2 linked regions of the Pelodiscus sinensis genome follow. The protein of the gene in region 2 binds, or shares a complex with, the protein of the main gene of each other region. Links are inferred from orthologs where the notes say so. Each region holds a gene or a part of one and is shown on either strand. Other genes may lie near its edges. The genes, in order: MCFD2 and LMAN1.

What was found.
Region 1: the proteins of LMAN1 (region 2) and MCFD2 are in contact, whole or in part, in a cryo-EM structure (PDB 8JP5), measured with the Homo sapiens proteins. The link is inferred for Pelodiscus sinensis from reciprocal best matches to the Homo sapiens genes LMAN1 and MCFD2. Residues at the interface, in NP_005561.1 of Homo sapiens: His43, Arg44, Arg45, Phe46, Tyr48, Lys49, Ser51, Phe52, Lys53, Pro55, His56, Gln59, Ser60, Asp61, Val64, Pro65, Phe66, Trp67, Lys96, Phe265, Glu273, Lys279, Glu280, Ile281, Glu285, Lys286, Tyr289, Glu292, Phe293, Phe296; in NP_001164977.1 of Homo sapiens: Val59, Ile60, Asn61, Lys62, Gln70, Glu71, Leu74, His75, Phe77, Lys78, Tyr82, Asp83, Asn86, Asp89, Gly90, Leu91, Glu92, Thr95, Thr98, His99, Val100, Leu111, Glu114, Leu117, Ile118, Ile121, Asp122, Leu125, Asp129, Lys130.

What each region holds. Positions count from the first base shown.
Region 1 is NC_134713.1:163,908,543-163,920,589, reverse strand, and holds the start of MCFD2 (multiple coagulation factor deficiency protein 2), read right to left. Parts: upstream 5,684-12,047; 5' UTR 5,477-5,683; intron 4,862-5,476; exon of another isoform or gene 4,689-4,861; intron 3,288-4,688; exon of another isoform or gene 3,143-3,287; coding exon of another isoform or gene 3,140-3,142; intron 2,633-3,139; 5' UTR 2,565-2,632; intron 1,852-2,564; coding exon of another isoform or gene 1,846-1,851; coding exon 1,703-1,845; intron 1,075-1,702; coding exon 915-1,074; intron 1-914. UniProt on the Homo sapiens protein: The MCFD2-LMAN1 complex forms a specific cargo receptor for the ER-to-Golgi transport of selected proteins. Plays a role in the secretion of coagulation factors.
Region 2 is NC_134716.1:109,310,856-109,323,418, reverse strand, and holds the start of LMAN1 (protein ERGIC-53), read right to left. Parts: upstream 5,914-12,563; 5' UTR 5,844-5,913; coding exon 5,612-5,843; intron 1-5,611. UniProt on the Homo sapiens protein: Mannose-specific lectin. May recognize sugar residues of glycoproteins, glycolipids, or glycosylphosphatidyl inositol anchors and may be involved in the sorting or recycling of proteins, lipids, or both.

The sequences.
Region 1 (12,047 bases), on a different chromosome or scaffold from region 2:
AAAAACAAACCACACCCACCCACCCCTCAGTTATGCCAGTCATAATAAGTTTCAAGACAGGAGCAAAACCACATATCAGTACATGTTTACTGATGTTTTGAACAAAATCTCTCCCCTGAGTTGGCACGAATCATTAGCCAGGCACCTTGAAACAGAGTTCCTTCAGTTGCTAAGCTAACTTTTCACAGTAGTAGCTTCCTCTGCAGTCAGAGAGGGTATACTGTCATCATTTGGTATTAGTCACACAAATCTAAGAAATAGACTGGGAGTTAAAGCAGGAACTCATATTTCTGCTTCAGTCTATGAATCATCTTCCCCACTCCCACTGTCATTTTGAGAGTTTGCTATTCAAGTTTTAAGGGCACTGTACACTTAGTGTTCTGAGGACTGGGTCTGTTAGAGTTAATAAAATTTGAAAAAGTTTAAGGACAGCCATCAGCTGGCAACTCAGGAGACTGCTGCAACTGCAAATGTGAAACATTTTATTAAACTAAATCTTAAATTGTATATCAGTGTGTGTGTGCATGATTTAATTATTGCCATTCCTAATGTACTGCTACTGCATCTGTAGCAGATACAGCATGGTGAACTATTTCTTAAATTAATAAAAAAGTCAAATCAAAATATAAGTACACCCTCTTAGCTGTTGTAAAATGCTATAGTGTCCAGCAGTGATCAGATCTGCACCACTGTTTAAGAAATGTAAGTACTATTAGAGGGAAATTTGATTTAAATCAATATTTTTGGAGATTAAAAAAAAAAAATCTACCCTGGTTAAATTTATATTTTTATAAAAACAAAAACTCACATTAAAAATTAATTTGACTGTACAGAAAATGCATATTCTAATTGGAATTACTTATGAGAACGTATTGTTTTGAAGAGCCACTGGGGCAATTATAAATACTGCTCACCTCTTTATGTACATGTGATATAGCAGTGGCAAGTTCTAACCCATCAAGCAAATTATTGCCATCATAATCGTGCATTTTGAAGTAATGGAGCTGTAACTCCTGTGGGGACATCTCAGATTCTGGTTTGTCAATTACACCTTCTAAGTGTTCCATGATGTGGCTGAAAATACAAAATAAAGTCAGCAGTTAACATATAAAAGCCTATTTATATATTTAACAGTTCTTTGCTCAAGGAACTAATCTACAACAGTTTGGATGAGATTCTATGTTGAGTCTGTTAGAGAAGTGGCATCAAAAACTGGCATCAAAAACTTTTCCTCTCCCCCTCTTCCCAATCTACATATATATGGTGTTTTTAAGCCACCATTGTGTCCTGATCATGGTATGCTAGGATCTAAAGAGATCTGCCATAATTTAGACAGTGTTGGGGGCCTGTCTAAATTAGCCTTGGGAGGCAATTGTATCTCCTTATGAGAGTCTTCCACAGAATCAATGCTGGATGAAGCCTTCCCCACCAGCAGCTTTAGGGCCTATTTATATGATGTGGCTCTTCTAACCACTGTAGAGAGAAGACAAGAATCTTACAGTGTAAGTGTTCATGATGCATATTCCCCCCCCCCCCCCCCCAATGTTTTTGTGGCCAATATACACAAGGAAAAACAGTGTATAAAGATAATTTTGACTGAGTTTTTCTATGCCATGTAGGGAGGGCAACCCTGATATATTGAAGTCCAACTTCAAAATGAATCACTGAGCAATACAAGTTTTACAGAATACAAAGAACATACTCTTTGTCTTGTACTAGGCTCTTATCAAGACGAATATTTGCTTGATGAGTCTCCTCTGTGTGACCCTCAGCTACAGAGGAAATTAAGAATGCAGACACTAGGCAGAATAGCAAATATGTGCTCAACATCCTTGTGGCCATCATGATCTCCTAGCAAGTGAAAAATACATATATTAATACATATGATAAATACATTCAATGAAATGCAATGTTTTCAATGTAATAAGCACAGTGGAAATATGAAGTCTCCATTAAATTGTAGGATGCAAAAATTTTCAGATTCCCAACTTGAAAATGTAGTATGTGCTGTGCAGCTGCTAATCTTTCTGGAGAACAAATCCACAATAAATTACTTGACTCTGTAAATATTGTCTAGTCCAGGGCTACTCAACACATGGCCAACGGGCCGCATGAGGCCCGTGGTGCGGTTTGGGTTTACGCAGGGCTGAACACGCAGCCCATGGGCAGGATTCTTTGAACATGGCCTCCACAGGGAACATGCTCCACAACAGTGAGGTGTCTCCCAGATGGGGTGAGCACTTAAAGGCGCAAGCAGATGGCTGGCTGGAACAGAGGCATAGAGGGTATTGGTGCTTCTAGCCCCCTGGGAGAAGCTGCCAGGAGTGCTGGGATAGCACTTTGTATTCATGCCCATCAATGTGAAAGAAGCTATTTGCATGTATATGCAACCATACTTAAGTTGTGGCCCTTAGAATGTGCTGAGAGTATCATTGTGGCCTCCCAGAGCTTCCAAAGTTGAGTAGCCCTGTTTTAGTCAAATAGTCATAGCAACTTCACTTAGATGCATTTTACAGTATTTTCCTTAAAAAAAAAAAAAAATAATAATAATTAAACTTACAGACCTTCCTAGTCCAACTAGGTAGCCTCCCTTAGATGTAAATGAAAGTGGGGCATGACATCATAAGCACTACTGGAAATATTTAAAAAACAAAACAGCAGTGGAAATGCTCAGATACCAGTTTAATGCAGAACATTCTTTCTTTATAGAAGTCCTAGTTTTAATGATAGAATTGTGATAGTCGAAGCTAAGTTTCATTAAGCTACGTTGATGAATCTTCTTAATCAACAGTGCATTATAAAATTGTTCAGAGTTTATATATTATTGCAGTCTTTGTTTCAATTATTTTGTGGCTCTGTCCAATGACAAAGTGGCTATTTTGAACGTGTAGTGCCACTACCCAAACAAGGCTTATGTTTCTGATATTTTGCGACAAAACATAAGTAATCAGTGTATAAAAATGGTACACTATTTAGACTCTTGGCATTCAATGTTCCTCTCTCATGAAAAGGGTATAAATCACTAAAGTCATAACTAATGGAAGTTAACATAGGTGAAAATAGAGCACAAATGCATTCTATCACATAATCCTAATTAACACAGAATAGTGTTAAGTCAAGTTATAAAAATGAACACTACCATGAAACAATACTGATCTCCTTTTGCAGAAGTTTCCCTGAAGAGTTAATGCCTAATAACAAATCAGGTCTAAAACAGAAATGTTTGCTATTCCACTTGTTTGTCAGAAGATTTAACACCACTTGAAATGTGATAGTAGCAGGTCACCCTGTAAATCCAGAAATACAAATACTAGTGTCAGCTTTCACAACTCTATGGACTATTGCCAGGAGGCTATACAGAGTTTGCATAACTTATGAAAATATTAGGTTTATTAGCTACGCATTTTAAATGGATCAAATATTTTCCACAACTACCTTCCGAACTACCTTCTTTGTCTTTGATAACAGGAAAAAAAAGAAAGCAGGGGAAAAAGAAACTTTTCCTACCAGGACACTAAAATAGTCACTGTACTTGCTCAGTGAAAGTTGAACTGAACCCATTTATTTTAGAACAAATCCCACAAGCCTGAAGACTGCAATTTACTAACTACTTTGGTGCAATTCCTTAAATGGCATGGTACTCATTTACAAAGCAAGACACCACTCCAGTAGTGCCACAGGTACAACAGTATTCTGAAAGAATATTAATACATGATATAGCACAGCAGCAAATCAGTTAGTGAATTTTGTTTGGACTGAAAAAGTTACAGATTGGAAAGGCAACATGGTCAGTACTTTGTCTATATAAGAGAGTTGCACTGGTTTATTTTAAAGCTGTTTTTAACTAAGGCTGTGTCTATATTGGCGCGATCTCACGCAAAAGCGGCTGCTCTTGCGCAAAAACTTGCTGCCTGTCTACACTGGTCGCGAGTTCTTGCGCAAGTACACTGACATTCTAATGTATTAAATCAGTGCTTCTTGTGCAAGAACTCTGATGCTCCTGCTCGGGGATAAGCCCTCTTGCGCAACTGTTCTTGCGCAAGAGGCCAGTGTAGACAGGCAACAAATTTCTTGCACAAGAAAGCCCTATGGTTAAAATGGCCATCAGAGCTTTCTTGCACAAGAGAGCATCTACACTGGCATGGATGCTCTTGCGCAAACGCACATACCAGTGTAGATGCTCTCTTCTGGAAGAGTTTTTGCACAAGAACCCTTCTGCAAAAGAGTTCTTGTGCAAGATCATGCCAGTGTAGACATAGCCTAAGAAATTAAGGCTATAACTACCCCAGCACTTTGCCCATAACACATGTCACTCAGGAGTGGGGGAAAAAAAACCACCAACTGCTCCCTCTCCCTGCCCTGACATAAGTTATACCAACAGAATTGATAGTGCAGACAGCTGTCAGCAGGAGATGCTCGCCCCCCCCTTTCCCCATGAGCAGTGGTAGCTATATACTCATATACCCAATATGGATTTGCACCAGTGTAAGGTGTAACAACTTAAATTCACACCTTCTCTTGTATACTGGTGCAATTTATAGTGATGCAAATTATTACTTAGGATATGAGTGACTGATTTCTGTCACTCAGGAACAGCTTAACCGAAATAAATCATTTTATACTGAAATAAGAGTGCCCATAAAGCCTTTCAGAATGGTCTAACTATATAGGCTTTAAAAAAAACCCACCTTAGACAAGATGTAAGATCCAGGAATTCCTGAATTCTACTGTTCTCTGACACTAATTCACTACATGCTAGGAGCAATTTTCAAACCCTCTCTGCAATAATTTCCCCTGTTGTCAATTAGGGATAAGAGAAGGCCACGTTTTCTGCAGACATAACTCCCCTGATTTGAAATTCACTTCCACCAGCAGAGAATTTTAAGAAGAGTCCTGAACATCAGCTCCTGATAATCTGCAAGGTAGATGCCCAGTTACAACAGTTTAGTTTAAAACGTACTTGACATCCAGCCCTTCACTGGGATGAGCTGAAGGTTTGTAAAACAATAACAAGCACCACAGCCTCCCCACCCAGCCGCTGTGCAACTGACGAGCGATTAGCAGGGAAAGAGACTGGAAGGCAGGAGAGCGGTGACTGCAGGGTCATTAGGTTCAGTTAATTGCCTGCGCCCGCTGCCCGTTTCCATCTACGTGTTACTGCAGCCCTGCTCGGCTACCGGACACCCCTCAAACAGCCCCCACGCCAGGGCCCTGAGCCCCCACCTACCGGCCCCGCTGCCGCGCGCCTCACGCGACCGGGTCTCCCCGCGATTACGCCGGCTCTGCCAAGGAGCCGGACTGGCTCTGCGTGACAGCGCCCGGTGTGGCGGGGCGCGCGGGACCGTAGCCCCCGCCGCCGGCCGCAAACCCATCGCAGCCGAGCTCAGCGCGGCCGGGGCGCGTCTCCGAGCGCGGGGGAGGTGCCGACTCGCCCCGCCCGCGACGCTCCGCAATGTGAGGCGCGGCCCGAACTCACCGGCTGCGTAGCCGACAACGTCCCGGGGCACAGCACCGGGGCACAGGCAGGTGCGCAAGGGAGTAGACCCAGCCGGCCACCGTCCCCAGGCGCATCTTTGACCCGACGCACGCTCGCGTCCTGCCACGCCCCCTCCCGCTCATTGGCTTTCGCCAGCCAGAGCTGGGAGAACGTCAAGGCTCCTGGACATTCCACGTGTAACGAAAATGAAGGGACAGGTGGGGGTGGGGGCGGGAGTGTGTCAGGTGACCAGCATGAAACGCTCCTTCCATGTGCCCCGCCTCCTCCGTGACTCCTGCCCCCATCGGCCTCTGCCTCTCGCTGCACCGCCCCCGGCAATGCGTCGGTGGTCAAGTGGGCGGGGCTTGGAGCTCACCCAGGAGGGGAGTCCTGTAAGAGCCTCCTCTCCCATGGTTTCCAAATAGACCTGCCCTGAGCCTGTTCCAGGCCTCTCCTTGGCCCCTCCCCCCACAAAATGCATCCCAGGCAGCAAGGTCCACAGCTGAGGTGTGGGGGCGTGGCTCTGCGTCCCGGAAGGGGCGGGGCCTCGGACGGAAGGGGCGGGGCGGAGACAGTCAGGCCTAGCGCTGCCTGGAGCGCGACACGCCCGGCCACTTGAAAGGGGCCCGGGACAGGAGCAGCGTCCGGCTCGCTCAGCTGCTGCGCCAGCGCCCACGAGTCGGGCGGGGGCTTCCCTGCGCGTGGCCCTGGTTGAACAAGTGCCTTGGTCGAGGCCGCTGTCCCGGTTCTGTAGCGCGGCGGGTGGAGGGGGGGGAGCACTAGGTTTGGGGGCAATTTTCAACTCTCGTGCGGAATTTTTCTCCCTCACACTTTGTGTGTGTTTGCACGTGGGGGAGGGGGCTTGTTTATGTCATTGGTTCTAGAAACGCCTCCTCCTCCGCATGGCAGCTCAGGAGTGTGTTTAGCAAGCACTTTGGTTTGCTTCTGTTCTGACCCCAATGTTATTTGCTTTCTTATACCAGTATTTTAATAGTGATAGAAATGTAGCCCTGTTAGTCTGGTGTAGCTGAAACAAAATACAGGACTATGTAGCACTTTAAAGACTAACAAGATGGTTTAGTAGGCGATGAGCTTTTGTGGGAGTGGGTCTGGCCCAGGAAAGCTCATCACTTAATAACCATCTTGTTAGTCTTTAAAGTGCTACATAGTCCTGTTTTTTGTTTCAGTATCTTAATAGCCTTTCTATGCCCCTGTGTTTACATTGTACCAGTCCACTCCCTGTCTCTTCTAGGAATGTTGCCTATCTCAAGAAATCTGTACAGTCATTTTGCTTTTGTAAACATTCATCACATTGTTATTAGGCCAGCTTTATTGACTAGTGCTCATTAATGAGCCAGATATAGTAATGAGGAAAAATCAGATCTAACATATAGCTTTCAAGGCTGCCCTGTCTCAAGAGTATTAGTGCTCTCTCTGGGGCAGACTGTTAGGAAAAGGGTCCAACCTCCACTTTAATTTGGAATGCTGATACTTAGATTTTGTTTCACCACTTATCAAGTGTAAATTCCTCAGGCACTATAATAGTCCTAACATGCAGTCAGTCTGTGGTGTACTCAGATTAGTCTTGCCACCCAAATAAGCATGCCTTAGTGATAGATGGTCCCTTACCAAAGATCACAGCAATATTTAGCCATTCATCTGAAGAAGTGGGTTGTGCTATCAAAAGCTCATGTTACCATCTACCTGTTTTAGTAGTATCTAAGGTGCTGCAATACTATTAATCTGTAACTGGAAAAACTTAAAAAAACCAACAAACTCAGCTACCCCCTGGGGTAATATTTAGGTTTCTCCACAGCCCAAAGGATCAATCACTTATCCACTGGCAGATGTACTTTAGTTCTCATACCAAAATGCTTACATCCAGTCCTATTATATGCTATGTAGAGATCAGGGCTGTACCTTGGAGGATGTGAGGCCTAACCCTAACCCTAACCCCCCATTTGCCCCTTCATATTTTGGGACAGGAAAGAGTAAACATAGTTTTTTGTCCTCTTTAATGTTCCACGCTATTCCATCTGTTGTTGATGGGCCTTTCTTGTTGGCCAGAATATAACATCTTCTGTGGGATATCAGCACTTCATACTAGTTAATGTCACTTTTCTGGCTGGTGATCTAAGGGGTTACCAAACAAATGCTGAAATATTACTTTATACCTTATAGTGAATATTACTTTATACCTTATAGTGCAGCAACTTACAAGCATCACATAAAGTCAAAACACATTCTTAGAATTCTAATTCCTGTTTTACTAATACTAACACACAGCTGAGTCAAACTCATTCCAGCTATGTATAAATCATTCAGTGGAGACATGGGGACCTTCATGAGAGCTGGGATATGAGTGTCAGAGAACGAAGGCAAAGGAAGGCATTGCCTACCCAAACAGACATGGTGGCCTTGCCTACACTCTGCCTTATGTCAGGCTTCTTCCTGTGTACAGCAGGCTGCTCTAGGCCCAGCACTGAGGCTGGTGGCCACCCGGTGCTCCAAGACCAGGAAAGCTGGGGCTATGGAATCACCCAACTCGGGAGGGGGGTAGAGACTGCTCTGCCTGGCAACCTGCCACTCTGGGATGTGGAACATGCTAGACTTGGGCAGGAGCCAGGAAGGAACCAGCCAGCAGACACAATGGTGGGTGGGAGCTGCGCAGGGCCATCCCAAGAGGAACATGGGGCCTGGAGCAACCCCTCCTCCCAGTGCCCTAGGCATGGTGCCCAGCTCAACCCTTCTGCAGATCCCACCCCTTCACTGCCCATGCTGTGGTTCTTCCCACTGCTACTCTGCTCCCTGCTGAGCCAGGAGATTACTGGGGACTCGGATCAGGGGTTGCTCTCTCTCTCCCCCCCAACTCTCACCACCGTGGTGGGAGCTGGAGCAGCCAGCCTGCTCTGCTCTACTCCTCCATGCTGCTCTTCCAGCCCGCTGCACCTCACTTCTCTGTGGCAGTGGGAAGTGGAGCATCCTGGGACCTGGGCACTCTGCTTCCTGCTGCCATGGTGAAGCTGAGCACAGCAGGCTGGGAGAGGGCAGTGGCGCAGAGCAAGTTGTTGGGTTGTTCTGGCTCCTGCCATCCTGGTGAGTGCGGGGAGGGGGAATTCCTGTTGCCATCCTGTGCAAAGCCTGTACATAGGACAGTTGAGGTAGTTGCTGTGGGGGGCCCTAAAGCTGAACAGCTATGTGGTTGGGGAACAGGGGCCAAGAGTTACAATGGGGGCTGGATTGGGCTCAGTGGGCACAGAAAGGGTAAAGCCTTGGCCAGAAGGGGTAGGGCTGCCATTCATTCACCATCTATGAGCTGGCACCTGGTCTACCAGCATTGCAATAGCACTATCACTGACTTTTGATGAACTTGCTCTTGACAGAAATGTTACTTAATTTTCAGAACTGGGAGTGACAGTGTAAAGCTGGGTGATCAGTAAAACCCTATAGAGATGGATGAACTCTTAAGTGGATCAGAGATTTGAAACAGATGTTCATTCAAACATTTAGCTCTGTTGGACTTGCTATCGTAATTTTTTGTAAACCAATTAAATGCTCAATGCAACTTTCTATGTGTCTGAAAATATCTTTGTTAGTACATAGGTAGGAATGTGAGAAGGCCTTAAAAGAAAGTACATTTCATCTTGTGTGCCTGGAAACATTCCACACCAAAAGAATTTTCTTCTTTGCCCAGCAAAACTGAGACTGTTCTGGGTTCAAAAATTTTAACCACAACTTAAAAAAACAGTATGTTACTTTACTTTTTGTGGCTAAATTATTTAATGGTTCTTATGTTTCCATTTTTCAGTACAGGCAGTCTCCGGGTTACATGGATCCGACTTACATCGGATCCCTACTTACAAACAGGGTGAGGCAACCCCTCACTAACTGCTTCCCGCCAGCAGACCAGGGAGACGCGAAGCTAGTGTCCCCCCCCCCCCCCCCCTCCCAGCAGACCAGGGAGACGTGGAGCAGCTTTTTCTCAGCAGACACCTCAGCTTGAGAATAAAGGACTGAGGGAAGTGAGGTGTGGGAGAATAAAACTGAGCTCTGGAGAAACGTTTGGCTAGAGTTTCCCCTACAATATGTACCAGTTCCAACTTACATACAAATTCAACTTAAGAACAAACCTACAGTCCCTATCTTGTACGTAACCCAGGGACTGCCTGTACTAGATACGTTACGGGTGCTTCCTGTTTTCACTTTAATACCTACTTCCGGATTGAAATAGATCTCAATATTTTAAGATGTTTTAGTCCAGAACACACACATTACTGGGAGAACAGAAAGTACTCATTATACTGAAGTAATCAATAGATAGTATTTTTTAAAAAATACAGTTTTGCCATAAGTTTCCCAGAATCAGAGAGGAGATTTTAAACTGCTAAAAAACTGGCAGTGCAGTGGGGCTAAGGCAGGCTCCCTGCTTGCCTTGGCACCATGCTGCTCCCAGAGGTGGCTGGCACATTCTTGCAGCCCCTAGCACTTGTGGTAGCTTTGCTAATTCTCTGCCAGGAAAACTGTGGTGGGAGGTAGGGGGTCATTTTAAGTGCTTTTATTTGTGATAAGTATGCTCTCTACTTGGAATGGAAAGTGATGGAATTGTGATAGGAACGAGAGAGAGAGATACATACACTCTCTCTGTCTCTCATAGGGTACATCTACACTTGCTCCCTATCTCGAGATAGGGATGCAAATGTAGTGTACTGATATTGATTTAAATATCCTGTGCTTAATTAACATAATTGCGTCCAGCTGCCATTTTGAAATCGTTACTACACGGGGCGTTTCATTTTGCAATAATGCGATTTCAAAATGGACGCAATTATGCTAATTAAGCACGGGATATTTAAATACTGTGCTTCATCAGCAATTTCAGTACACTACATTTGCATCTCTATCTCGAGATAGGGAGCAAGTGTAGACATACCCATACAGACTTACCTGACATTCTCCAGGTCCTTCATGGCATGGGACTGGTGGTGTGTGGGACTCAGGGCAGCACTTTGGGGATGGGTGGGTAGGTGGTGGGTAGGAGGCCAGGGCAGGGGCAGTGTGAGAGTGAGGGTTGGAATGAGGAGGGGTTCAGGGCATGGGGGCCCATCTGGCATGAGCCTTCCCCCGCGCCCAGCACCCTTCCACCCACCAGGGGCCTTTTCTCTTCCCCAACCCCCTCTGACCACCAGGGAAACAGCCACCAGCTGCCCCCCACCTCCTGCCCTTGCTTCTGCACCCTTTGCCCCTCTGCCCTTTGCCCCTCCTCACCCCCCCAACCATGATTCTTCCCTCCATCTCATTCCCAGCTCCCTGCCCTAGTGTGTGTGTTCGTGTGTGGTTTTGCATGTGTGGGCGAGCGCACGTGCATACATATTTCTTTTTAAGTACTGCAGAGCACTCAAAAGCTTTGTTCTGGCACTGTTTACTTACCTAGCAGGAATGGAATTTAAGCACTTAGGTCAGGGCTACTCAATTTTGGAAGCCCCAGGAGCCACAGTGATACTCACAGCACATGCCAAGGGCCACAATTTAAGTGTGGTTGCATATTGAAGGAACAGAATCTGGACACTGTATGTGAAGCAAGCAAGGGAGTTTGTTACACACACAGCACTGTCAGAGTGTCACATCGCTTGTGAGAACTCAGTGAACACTGCCAAACAATAGATTATAAATAATTATATAGGATGCTCAGTGGGCAGATCAAAGTGATGGGGCGGGGGAGGAGGGGGGAAGAAAGGGGCAGAAGATCCTGGACCCCTGGATAGGTGCTAATTGTGAAGCAAAATAAGAGTAATAATATAAAGTTACATAGGCTGCTTCTAGACTGGCATGAAAAAACGTTTCCGTTAAAAGTATTTGCGCAAAATCATGCCAGTCTAGATGCAGCCATTGTGTTTCCAGTAAAACAAATATTTAAACAAAGCAGACATCAATTATCAACTATGTGTTAAGTGGTGATATGTCTGTCAGCTTCAAGAGGTGTGTCTGCACGGATGAGGTCCACCTGGGGATTAAAGCAGAGACATTATGAGTACTTGACAATGGCACATTTGTTCCTAGCATCATTGAATGTGGCTTCTCCTGTCTCCCATCCTGGGCTAGGTGTGTGTGTGGGAGGGGGGCGGGTAACCATCATGCACTGTGTTTGTGTGCCAGTCCCAGACTCCAAATTTACAATAGGGATTCTTAACAGAATATCATAAACTGCCTCAGAAATTTTCATCCTACACATATACATGCAAATATATATACATGCAAATACATGCAAATAGCTTATTTCACCCTGATGGGCATGAATACAAAGATTAAGCCTTAAGCTGCGGTGCTGGACCCAAATGTGGCCAGTGTGAGCCAATCAGCACCTCTCAGGTCTCTGCCCACAAGCCTAAGCAGCCAGCACTTCCCACAATGCCCTGGCACTCCTGGCACCTCCTCCCTGTGGGCTAGAAATGCCAACACCCGGTACCCATCTGTTTCAGCCAGCCTGTCCGCTTGTGTCTTTCAGTGCTCACCCCACCTAGGAGATGCCTCGCCGTTGTGGAGTGTGTTCCGATGGAGGCCATGTTCAAAGGAT
Region 2 (12,563 bases):
TCAAATAAATTGATTAAATTATACAATACTAAGTCACCAAAATGAGATGGTATTTACTGAAGAGTTCTGAACCAACTCGAAATGAAATTGCTGAAGTACTGTGATATGTAACCCAATGCCTAAATCAGCCACTGTACCAGATGACTAGAAAGCAGCTAATGAAAAGTTATTTTAAAAAAGGCTCCTGAAGCAATCCTAGCAAATACAGACAAGTAAACCTAACCTCTGTACCAAATAGTTGAAATGAAATGAAAACCACAGAATTGTCAGACACATAGATGAATGCAATTTGAAGAGTCAACATGATTTTTGGAAAGGAAATTTATGCTTATTAGAATTCTTTGAGGGCATCATTAAGCATGTAGGATTGTATATCCAGTGGATATAGTGTACAAAGACTTTCAGAATGTCTTTGACAAGATCCTGCATCAAAGTTAACAGTCATGAGATATGAGGGAAGATCCTTTCATTGATCAATAACTGGTTAAAAGACAGGAAACAAAGGGTAGGAATAAATGGTCAGTTTTCAGACTCCCCATGCAGGCAGGGGCTGCTTCGGACACCAAAGCAATCCCTACCTTCAGGGCACCCAGGCCTGCCATGGCTAGAGGCTACAAGGAGAGATTAAAAGACTGGGAACATTCAGAGAGACTATTCAGAGGACACAATATAACGTATATTAAATCATGAATGACATGAAGAACATGAACAGGGAATTGTTATTTACTCCTTCACATAACACAAGAACCAGGGGTCACCAGATGAAATAAACAATGGGTTTAAAACAATATCGGGTTTAAAACAAAAAAAGTAGGTCATCACAAAAGCACAGAAAACCTATGAACTTGTTACCATAGAACAGAGTTTCTCAACCTATGGGTCAGGACCCAAATATGGGTCACCATTACATTTCAAAAGGGTCGCCAGGAGTCTCCCCAGGTGGCTCTTAAGGAGCTATTCACACTTTTTTTAAATTGCCCTGGGTCACCGAGTCTTCCTGCATTGTCAAAATGGGTCCCCATCTGGAAAAGATTGGGAACCACTGCCATAGAATGTTATGAAGGCCAAAAGTCACGCTGAGTTCAAAAAAAGAATTTGATAAGCTCAAGGACAGATGAATGAATGGCTATTAGCCAAGATGATCAGGGACACAACCCCATGTTCTGGGTGCCCCTTAACTTCAAGCTACCAAAAGCTGGAACTGAATTTCAGAAAATGGACTGCTTGAAAATGCCCTGTTCCATTCATTCCTTCTGCAGTTTCTAGCACTGGCTATTGTCAGAGACAAGACACCGGGGTAGATGGATCATTGGTCTGATCCACTATAGTCACTCTTCTGTAAAGTATCTGCCTTTAATTTCGTGTTTATGTATCAATGACGTAATAGTACAAAGAACACTTTTCTGATAACATTAAGCTGGAAAGGGCTTCATATCATATAGTAAATAAACTTGTTTGACAATGAAGTAATTTTACTTATAAAGCAATACTTTTATATTTAACCCATAATAAAGATATGGTTTTCATATTTTAACATGCACCTATATATTCATATAATACTTCCTAGTAAAAATATCTCTGAGCACTCTGAATATTAACAAGGCTTCTAAACATCCCCCTCAGACTCATGTTGTCCTAATTTTACAACTAACCTAAAGAGCATGTAAGGGACTTGTTCAAAGAAGAGGCCAAAGACTTGTTCCATAGAAGAGACAAAAAAACCCAAAACTCCAAATCCTGCTCTATAGTCAAAGAACTAAACATATACATGTGTTTGATATAGAAGACAAAATAGGAAATGGGAACATTATCAAGTGGTTATTGACACTTGGCTTTATTAACGGGCTTGGTACTGACCTTGAACAAGTCATGTCAAAATAATTAGCTGAGGAACCTGAACTAGTAGCTTGATTTTCAGCATACCTTTTAAGAGCCAAGCCACTTATTTAGATGACTAATTATAGATCAGTAGTTTTAGCCTTACCTCTGCCACAATTGTGAAGCAAGATTCTACTTGCCTAAAAGGTGCACTGTGAGGCTTAATTAAATAATAATACGTGGAAAGATAATCCATTAGCACCAAATTTCTGTTAGGCAATACATATGAGGAAAGCATATGTAAAGAGTAAGACAGCTGAAGTCACCAGCTACCCTTGTGAAATGGCATATGGAAATCCCAATTTGTTTATAGCCGTACTGACCAGACACCTAGTTAATAAGAAGAACATAAGAATGGCCATACTGGGTCAGACCAAAGGTCCATCTAGCCCAGTAGCCTGTCTGCCAACAGAGGCCAGCACCAAGTGCCCCGGAGGGGGTGGACTGAAGACAATGATCAAACGATTTGTCTCCTGCCATCCATCTCCAGCCTCTGACAAACAGAACCAAGGGACACCATTCCTACCCCCTGGCTAATAGCCTTTTATGGACCTAACCTCCATGAATTTATCTAGCTTCTCTTTAAACTCTGTTATAGTTCTAGACTTCACAGCCCCCTCTGGCAAGGAGTTCCACAGGTTGACTATGCGCTGTGTGAAGAAGTTTCGTTTATTAGTTTTAAACCTGCTACCCATTAATTTCATTTGGTGTCCTCTAGTCCTTAAATTATGGGAAATAATGAATAACTTTTCTTTATTCATCCTCTCCACACCACTCATGATTTTATATACCTCTGTCATATCCCCCCCTCAGTCTCCTCTTTTCCAAACTGAAAAGTCCCAGTCGCTTTAACCTCTCCTCATATGGGACCAGTTCCAAACCCCTAATCATTTTAGTTGCCCTTTTCTGAACCCTTTCCAAGGCCAAAATATCTTTTTTGAGGTGAGGAAACCACATCTGCACACAGTGCTCAAGATGTGGGCATACCAAAGTGTTATACAGGGGCAGTAAGATATTCTGGGTCTTATTTTCTATCCCTTTCTTAATCATTCCTAACATTCTATTTGCCTTTTTGACCGCCGCAGCACACTGTGTGGACGTTTTCAGAGAACTATCCATGATAACTCCAAGATCTCTTTCCTGATTTGTCGTAGCCAAATTAGCTCCCATCATACTATATGTATAGTTGGGGTTATTTTTTCCAATGTGCATTACTTTACACTTATCCACATTAAACTTAATTTGCTATTTTGTTGCCCAATCATTTAGTTTTGTGAGATCTTTTTGAAGTTCTTCACAGTCTGCTTCTGTCTTGACTATCTTGAACAGTTTAGTATCTTGAAAAGTTTCGTTCCAAGGATTTGACTATACTGCATCAGTCCCTCTCCTATTAAATTGTTTTACAAGACTTGATGTTCCACCCTGCCACAAATGGCACCATATTTACCAGAGCAACAGGGGAGGTGAGGTAATATCTTTTACTGAACCAACTTCTTCTGGTGAAAGACAGGCTTCTGAGCCTCCAAAGCTCTTCAGATCTGGGAAAGATATTTCAAGCACCATAATACAGTTATGAATTTAAGATCCTTCTAAATATGTTACATATGCAATTATCCTTTCCGCCGTACATTTAGCACCAATGCTGTGAGTACCTTTCCCAGATCCAAAGTAGGGATATCAATGTGTAGATGACTACACCATTAACTGGTAATCCTGGGTTTATCGGTTAATCCCGTCGACTACACGCATTCTCCCCCCCCACACACACTTGCTGCCTCAAGGGGGGGGGGGAGCTAGTGCCCACAGGGGAGCTGTCTCTCCACATGTGCTGGCTCCATGGACCTGTCTGACCCGCCTGTCCTGCCCCATCCCCCCTTGTTGCCTCCTTCAGAGGCAGCAGGGGGAGGGGGATAGGCAGGTGCCGCCGCCACTCCCCCCCCCCGCTTCCAGGGCTGCTGCCTATTTGAGAGTCAGCAGCCAGAGGGGGAAAGGGCAGGGCAGACTGCTGTGGAGCAGCCTCTGCCTGCGATGGGCCCGGGGCCCTCTATGGACAGAGGCTGCTCCCCAGCAGCAGCCTCTGTCCTTGGGGAGCTTGGACCCCCCTCCACAGCCAGGGCTTGCTACTGCAAAGCTGCCTTTGTTCACAGGGAGCTCAGGTGCCCCACGGGCAGGGGCTGCTGCTATCCCGCACTGCTGCCTCTGTATCAGAGGCGGCAGCAGCATGGGGAAGTAGGCCGGAGTCAGTGTGCATGGGGAGCTGATAGAGAGGTAACAGCACAGAGGTGGCAGGGAGCTCTCTGGGAGTGGGACCAGAGTGCACTGGCTGCAGACCCCATCCCTGGGGGATATCAAATGGTTGTGTCACCGCTAAAAATTGATGTGGTTACATGACTATTCAATTACATGCTATCGGACATCCCTAATCCAAAGAAGATCTCTGTATAGCTTGAAAGCGTCTCTCTCTCTCTCTCTCTACACAAGCTGGGCCAATAAGAAACACACCTTATCTTACCTGCCTTGTTTCACTAATAATCTGGGCCCAGTTGGGATACAGCATAAGAACGGCCATACTGAGTCAGACCAAAGGTCCATCTAGCCCAGTATCCTGTCTGCCAACAGTGGCCAATACCAGAGGCCCCACAGGGAGGGATCACAACAGGTAATCCACACATGATCCCTCCCCTGTCACCCACCTACAGAGAAACAGAGGCTAGGGACACGATTCCTACCCATCTGGTTAAATAGCCATTGATGGACCTAACCTTCATGAATCTATCTAGCTCTTTTTAGACCTGTGTTAAAGTTCTAACCTTTACCACATCCTCTGGCAAGGAGTTCCACAGGTTGATTCTGCACTGAGTGAAGAAAAACTTCCTTTTTGTTTTAAACCTGCTGCCTATTAATTTAATTTGGTGATCCCTAGTTCTTATATTGGGGGAAAAAGTACATAACTTTTCATCTGTTAGTCTATAAGGTGCCACAGGACTTCTAGTTGTTTATAACTTTTCCTTATTCACTTTTTCCATGCCAGTCATGCTTGCATAGACCTCTATCATATCCCCCTTTAGTCTCCTCTTTTCTAAGCTGAAAAGTCCAAGTCTTTTTAATCTCTCTTCGTATGGGACCCATTCCAAACCCCCTAATCATTTTTGTTGCCCTTTTCTGAACCTTTTCCAATGCCAACTACAATTACACAAGATACACATTGTAATGACATAGAGCTGAAGCTTCAGTGCAGTGATGAGAAAATATTTTTTAAACAGTCACGCCGCATTCTTCACCCGCTTTTACTGAGACTTCAAAACCCAGCTGTTCTACCAAACACAGCAAAGGGCAGCAGGGAGGGAGGGAGTGAGTGTATGGAAACATACCTCTTCCAGGGTCTGCACCGGTTGGCGGGAGCAGGGAGCCTTAGGCAGGGTGAATAAGCTCCATGTGTTTCCGTGGGGTATCCCCACACCCAGGGCCAGTAAGAATCATGTCCCCATAGAGCCTGGTGCCCCTGCACCTGGGCCGTGCCAAGGGGGACAGGTGTCTCCGAGGGCCACAGGGGACCAGTCACAGGGGGCTAGCCCAGGGAACTAGACCCCCCCGCAGCCGGAGGAGGTCGGCAGTGCGGAGGGCAGGGCCAAACGAGGCAGGCGCCCCCCCACCCGGCAGGAGCCGGCCCGGGGGCGGGCATGACACAGGTCACACCTGGCCCGGCGCGGGCGGCGGAGCGGCGCGTACTTACTGCCCGTGTGGACCCAGAAGGGCACGGAGCCGTCCCCCTGCACCAGGTGCGGCCCCTTGAAGCTGTACTTGTACTCGAAGCGGCGGTGCGGCTGCGCGCCGGCCGTGACCGCTCCCGCGGCCCCCAGGCTGCTGGCCTCGGCGGGGGAGAGCAAGCGGCAGCCCAGGCAAAACAGCGCAGCCCACAGCACGTTCCCCGCGGCCAGGCAGCCCCGCTCCATGGAGACCGCCATCTTGGGCTTTGCCACGGGGAGCCAAGCACGGCCAACAGGGCGCTGCCTGATTGGCTGCGAGGAGAAGGGGGCGGAGACCGCCGCCCGGCCAAAGGGCGCGCAGCGCGTGGCTACATGTCAGCGCGGCTCGGGGGCGGGGCCTCTCTGTCCTTGTCCCCGCCCCCTAGTTGCCCGCCCTCGGCTCCTGTCTCACTCACTCACTCATTCACGTTGCCTCCCCCCCCCCGCCCTCTGGGATGTCTCGTGCCCTCCGTGTTCCCCTGCGACCGCTCCTGCGGGGGCGGACCTGGACATGGGGAGCAGGCTGAACGGGGAGGTGGGCAGCAGGAGGAGCAGGAGGGGGCGGGGCAATTGCACCATGATGGGGTGCGCATCCAGGAGGCCCTCAAAGACATAGAATCATAGAATCATAGGACTGGAAGGGACCTCGAGAGGTCATCGAGTCCAGCCCCCCGCCCTCAAGGCAGGACCAAGCTCCGTCTACACCATCCCTGACAGATGTCTATCTAACCTGTTCTTAAATATCTCCAGAGAGGGAGATTCCACCACCCCCCTTGGCAATTTATTCCAATATTTGACCACCCTGACAGTTAGGAATTTTTTCCTAATGTCCAATCTAAACCTCCCCTGCTGCACTTTAAGCCCATTACTCCTTGTCCTGTCCTCAGAAACCAAGAGGAACAAATTTTCGCCTTCCTCCTTGTGACACCCTTTTAGATATTTGAAAACCGCTATCATGTCCCCCCTTAATCTTCTTTTTTCCAAACTAAACAAGCCCAGTTCATGAAGCCTGGCTTCATAGGTCATGTTCTCTAGACCTTTAATCATTCTTGTCGCTCTTCTCTGTACATGTTCTCACAGGCCCCGTTGTAGGGTCGCCTCGGTTTCCCTGGACAACTCCCTCTCTTCCCCTTCTCCCTCCCCTCCCCTTACCTCCCAATACACAATGTTTGGATTCACCCAAAAAACTTGTCGGTTTTTATTTACAAAGGGGGGAGAGAGAGTGGGGACCTTGAACTGGGAGGGGGAAAGGAGCTACTCCTGGGAGGGGTGGCCCCTGCGACCGCTCCTGCGGGGGAGGACCTGGACATGGGGGCAAGCCGCATTGGGGCAGGCTGAACGGGGAGGTGGGCAGGACGGGCAGGGTTAGGAGCAGGAGTGTCCATTGGAGGAGGGGCAGGGACAGGAGGAGGAGGGGCCATTGCAGGAGGAGCAGGAGGGGTCGGGGGCAGTGCTAGGGGAGGGATGGCGGGGGCATGAGGCAAGGCCATGCCATAATGAATGGCATGCGCTATGTGTGTGGAGAGGCTGGCAACAGAGTTTGCCATCAGCGCACAGTGTTCCTGGAAGGTGGCCCAGGCCTCCTGGCGCCACTGCAGGTCCGCCTCTGTGCGCCTGTGGATGGCAGCCTCTATGCGCTCGACGGCCTGCACATGGCACCGCAGGAGCTGGTCCCGGTGTTGGACGCGCTGCCTCCGTGGTTGGGCGGCTGAGGGTGCTGCTGCTGCCAGACTGGAGGGTCCCCCGCTCCTGGTTGGTCCCGCTGCAGGGAAGAGAAGAAAGGACGGGTCAGTCAGGCAGCCCAGCCACTGTCCCCACACCCCATGCCTTCCACCCCACCCCTGAGCCCAGGTGACACCACAGGGTAGTGTGGCTTGGGCCCCATCGGTTCCTCCCCTGCCTCCACCGTATTGTATGTTTGCATAGAGGACTGCCCCTGGAGTAGAGTCCTCCTCCATGTATTGGAACCCCCAGTCTGTGTCATAGGGGGTTGTGATGCTGCGGTTTTTCCAGGAGCAGCTGCCGGAGGGGGCCTGCTGAGTGGCACTGCTGGCTTCGTCCTCCGGCGCACTGCTGCTGCTGTCTCCCTCCCCCGTCGTGGTGGTCCTGGTGATCGGGGGGCGCACACAGGTGTCGGCTGTGACATCCGGGGCTTGTGGAGCTGGCTGTCCCAGGATGGTGTGGATGGTCATAGTGGGGGCAGGTGTCTGGTCCTGCTCCCCGGCCCTCGCTGGCCTGCACATAGCCCAGGCGAAGTTCTTTGACTTTAGCCTGGACCTGTTCCAGGTTCCAGGCTGGATGGCCCTGCTGGGCTAGCGCCTGGACTATGCGGCCAAAGATGTCGGCGTTGCGGCGCCGGGACCGGGTGTCGTGGAGGCTCTCTTCCTCCTCCCACAGGTCCAGGAGGGTCTCCAGCTCCTCCAAGGACCACGATGGGGCTCTTCTTTTGCAGCCCCTGGGGGCCTCCTTCTCTGGGGGTGCGGGTGGCTGAGTGCCCGGAGCTGCCATGCTGGGCTGTGAGGTGGCTGCTGGGCACGGCAGGGGCAATGCTGGCAAGCCTCAGGCCAGAGGTCTGAGGCAAGCAGCCTGCGGCTACTTTAAGAGCTCAGGTTACCAGGAAGTCCTGGGCGTCTACGGGGTCTCGCAGCGTCCAAACAGCTTTTTTCCGTTTAGCCTGCTTTTGCGCAAACGTCTTAGCTAGCTGTCTACACTTGCCCTTTTGCACAACAGTTTTTCGCAAAAAGGACATTTGCCCGAACGGGGAGCGTCAAAGCTTTTCCGGAAGAAGCACTGATTTCGGACAGTAGATTGTCAGTGCTTTTGCAGAAAATCAAGCGACCAGTGTAGAGAGCTGGCAAGTTTTTCCGGAAAAGCGGCTGATTTTCCGGAAAAAGTGGCCAGTCTAGACACAGCCGGAGAGGAGCAGGGCTCCGCAAAGGAAGGTGGAGGGATCCTGGAAAAGGGCGGACTCAAATGGGGGGCTATGAGGAGAGGGAAACGATGGAGGGGAGGGCCTGTTGGGGTAGATGAGCTGTCCAGCCTCACACAGTGTTCAGCAAAGTGGAGGGGCAGGGGTGTTGCCTGCTCAGTTGCATCACAAACACCCCCTGAAAAAGTCTCTCAAGGTTTCATTAAAGATCCAGAAAAGAAGGAAACAATATCACAGGCTTTGGAAAGCATCCAAACAGTAAATACGGCTTTTGTTTTAATGGCTCCCCGTGGGCCCTTTTCCTTTAGCTATAGAGGCAGGAACCCACCCACCCCTGCCTTTCACAGTCTTTTAGGCTGCATTTTAAAGATGGTAATATGTCCTTTTTGGGGGGAAAGGGAAAGAGTTAGTTGAGATGGGGGAGGGTGTTAGAGACAACCTGAAAGCCATAAGAAACACATACAAATGGAAAGAACAGCAAAGATAAAAAATGCACCTTCCATCTCCAGTGTTAACTCCATTGGCGGATGCCCTGACTCAAAGTGGTTTCTATTATATCCAGTGTTTACAGTTTGGTTCAATGGCTCTCAGCAACCCTACTTATAGACATTGTACCAGCATCCCTGGTTGCCAGCATAGAGTTGCCAGCTTTCTAACTGCAGACAGCCAAGCATCCGTAGGTCCTGCCCCCTCCCTCCATCCTTCCTCCAGCTGTCCTTCACTCTCTCCCATCCTCACTCATTTTGACCAGGCTCGATTCCGGGTGAGGTTCTGATGATGGGGAGGTAGACTCAGGGTGAGTTCTGGAGTAGGGCCAAGGATGAAGAGTTTGGAGGAGGGGGCTCCAGGCTGAGGAGTGGGGCCAATGGGTTTAGAATGTGGGAGGAGGCTCCAGACTGGGGCAGTGGGTTGAGCTGTGGAAGAGGATGAAAGTTGCAATTGGGGTTGCAGACTGTGCGGTGGGGCAGGGGGTAAGCGGTTTGGAGTGCAGGGCGGAGGGGGGTGAGCTCTGGGCAAAAAAGTAATTTAGTTAAAAATATATTTGAGAGAGTGAATTTGTCTGTTCATTCATTTGTCAAGAACTCCTCTTAAACGGTAAGAGGTAGGACCGCCAAATTTGGTATGCAGCTTCCACATTGCTGGCTGTTCCCTTTCGTCTGAAAGTGCACAGTTTGCTCCATTCCTTAATCTGGCTGGGGAGCACAGGGGGCAGATGAATGTGGACCTGCCCCAGCTGAGGGACAAGCATCTCTCCCCTGGATGTTCCTGCTGGAACTGCAGAGGCCATTGAGAGGTGGTTATCACCTGGCCCCAGCCTGCTGCAGTGAGAGAAGGCTGAGGTAGTCCTCTCTCCCAAGAAAAGCCTGCATTCAGAACCCCTCATCCCCAGCTCCATCCCAGAGCAATTATTTAAATGAAGAAAAACAAAAATTAGTTGAGTTAAGGACCCAAGCAACCCCAAGTAAATCTAGTAAAATCCTTTGTTATTGTAAAATCTTTGTAAACATTTTTAAAGTTGGTGAAAGTACATATACATATCTACTGTAATGGAGTTCACACAATGTAAATTAGTGTTCCCTTTTTTCTAAAATAAGTGAACAATGTTATGAACACACTAAACCTCTGTGACTGATTGTGAGGGTCTCGGGGTGCGATCACCCCCTCCCAGTCCGAGAGGGGGGGTCTGCGGACCCCTTCTGGTCCTCCTTTTGTCCTGTGTCGTCCCTGGGCCGCCGGTGTGGAGTCCGGGCCCCTGGGGTGCGATCACCCCCTCCCAGCCAGAAGGGGGGGTCAGCGAACCCCAGGCCGTGAGTACCCGCCGAGCGGGATGGGGGGGCCGGAGCCCCTAGCCTTAGGTCCTCCTCCCCCAGTCCGGGGTTCTAGTTTGGTCCCAGTCGGTTAGTGTGGCTGTCGGGTGCTGGACGCTCCCCGTGTGGAGGGAGGGGGACCCGGTCCCGCCCTCTCTCCGGGTCCCAGCCCGGGGCCCTGAGCGCCGGGGCCGCTAGCGCCCCGGCACGGTGGACGAGGGGGGTGGGGATTCTCCCCCCTGTGGCCCGTCCACCCACGGCCGCCACAAGCGCCCTGCCCCGGGCTCCTTCCTCCCTCCTGTTGGGTCTGCCGTCCGATCCCCGTCGCCCTGGCGCCTACCTTGACTCGGCGGTCTGTGGTGTCTCGTGTTCCGATGGCGTCCCAGGGGTGAGCTCTCCAGCCCTGGCACGCTCCTGGCCGTCCCGGTCTCTCCTGACTCGGCGCGGTGGGGTCCTCCTGCCGTCTGGCGAGGGGCTGAGTGCTCGCCAGGGGCAGTGGCTGTCCCGGAGGCCCCGGGACCAGCGCCGGGCCGGCAGCCGGGCTGTGTGGCGCTCACGCTCCGTCCTGCGGTGGGGGCTGCTCCTCCGCCGCCGCGAGGAGCCTGCGCCCCGCTTCTCCGGCGGCGGGCACTTTTAAACTGGCCCGCCGCGCCGGCCGCCGCCCGGGGCCCCGCCCCTTCCGGGCCCGCCCCCGCTGGCGGCCCTCGCCAGTTGCCGTGCGCCCCGGCCCCGCCTTCCCTGCGTGGGCCGGCGGGGGGGGGGGCCGCCCATCGGCTGCCGGCGCAAGCGCGGGGGAAGCGCCCCCGCCTGCCGCCCCCGGCGGCTAGAGTTGTGGGGTTGCTGGGGGGTCTGCGGCCGGCCGGCAGAGCCCCGCCGGTGAGGACTCCGCTCGCCCCGCCCCCGGGAGAGTGACGGCCGGCGGGGGCTCCGCTCCCCTCGCCCCTGGTCCGGGGCCGGCCCGTCACACACCCCCCCCCTTACCGAGGGGTCTCCCTCATCCCCCACGGGCTCGAACGCCCGCGAAAAGAAGTCAGCGTTTTGGTGTTTTTTTCCCGCTCGGTATTCTACGTCGAAGCGGTAGGGTTGTAATGCCATATACCAGCGCGTTAGGCGCGGGTTCGAGTTTTTCATGGAATTTAACCACACAAGCGGGGCATGATCCGTGATTAGTTTGAATTTATTGCCCCATAGATAATACCTTAGGGTCTCAATGGCCCATTTCACCGCCAACGCCTCTTTCTCGATTGTGGCGTAGTTCCTCTCCCGCGGTAGGAGTTTCCGGCTCAGGTAAAGGATCGGGTGTTCCTCTCCGTCATGGTCCTGGGCCAGTACTGCTCCTAAACCGCATTCGGATGCATCTGTGTATAAAGAGAATGGTCTTTCAAAGTCAGGCTGCCTCAACACTGGGGCTTGGACTAACCTGCGCTTTAGTTCGCGGAAGGCCTGGTCGGCTTGTGCCGTCCACTGGATCTTGTTGGGGTGCGCGTCCTTGGTTAGTTCAGTCAGAGGGGCTGCGATCGTGGCAAAGTCCGGCACAAATCGGCGATAATATCCCGCCAATCCCAGAAACCCTCGTACCTGCCTCTTCGTTGATGGTGGCGGGTAGTTCCGAAGGGCTTCCACCTTTCCCAACAGTGGTTTCAGTTGCCCTCCTCCCACGGTGTAACCGAGGTAGGACACCTCCCGTTGGGCGAAGTGGCACTTTCGGGGATTCGCTGTGAGGCCTGCCTCCTGCAGCGCTTGCATCACGGTTTCCAGATGCTGGAGGTGCTCTGGCCACGTCACGCTGTATACGGCGATGTCATCGATGTAAGCTGCTGCGTACCCCTTCATGGGCTCCAGTACCTGGTCCATGACCTGCTGGAAGGTCGCTGCTGCTCCGTGGAGTCCGAACGGCATCCGGCGAAACTGAAACAGCCCGAAGGGGGTGGCGAACGCGGTCTTCTTCCTATCCTGGGGTTCCAAGGGAATCTGCCAGTAGCCTTTCGATAGGTCTAGGGTGGTGATGTACTTAGCCCTCCCCAGGCCCTCCAGCAGCTCCTCCACCCGTGGCATGGGGTAAGCATCGAATTGCGAAATCCCATTAACCTTTCGAAAGTCAATGCAGAACCGCACGCTCCCGTCTCGCTTGGGGACCAAGACTATGGGGCTGCGCCACTCGCTCTGCGATTCTTCTACCACCCCCCATTGTTTCATGGTCTG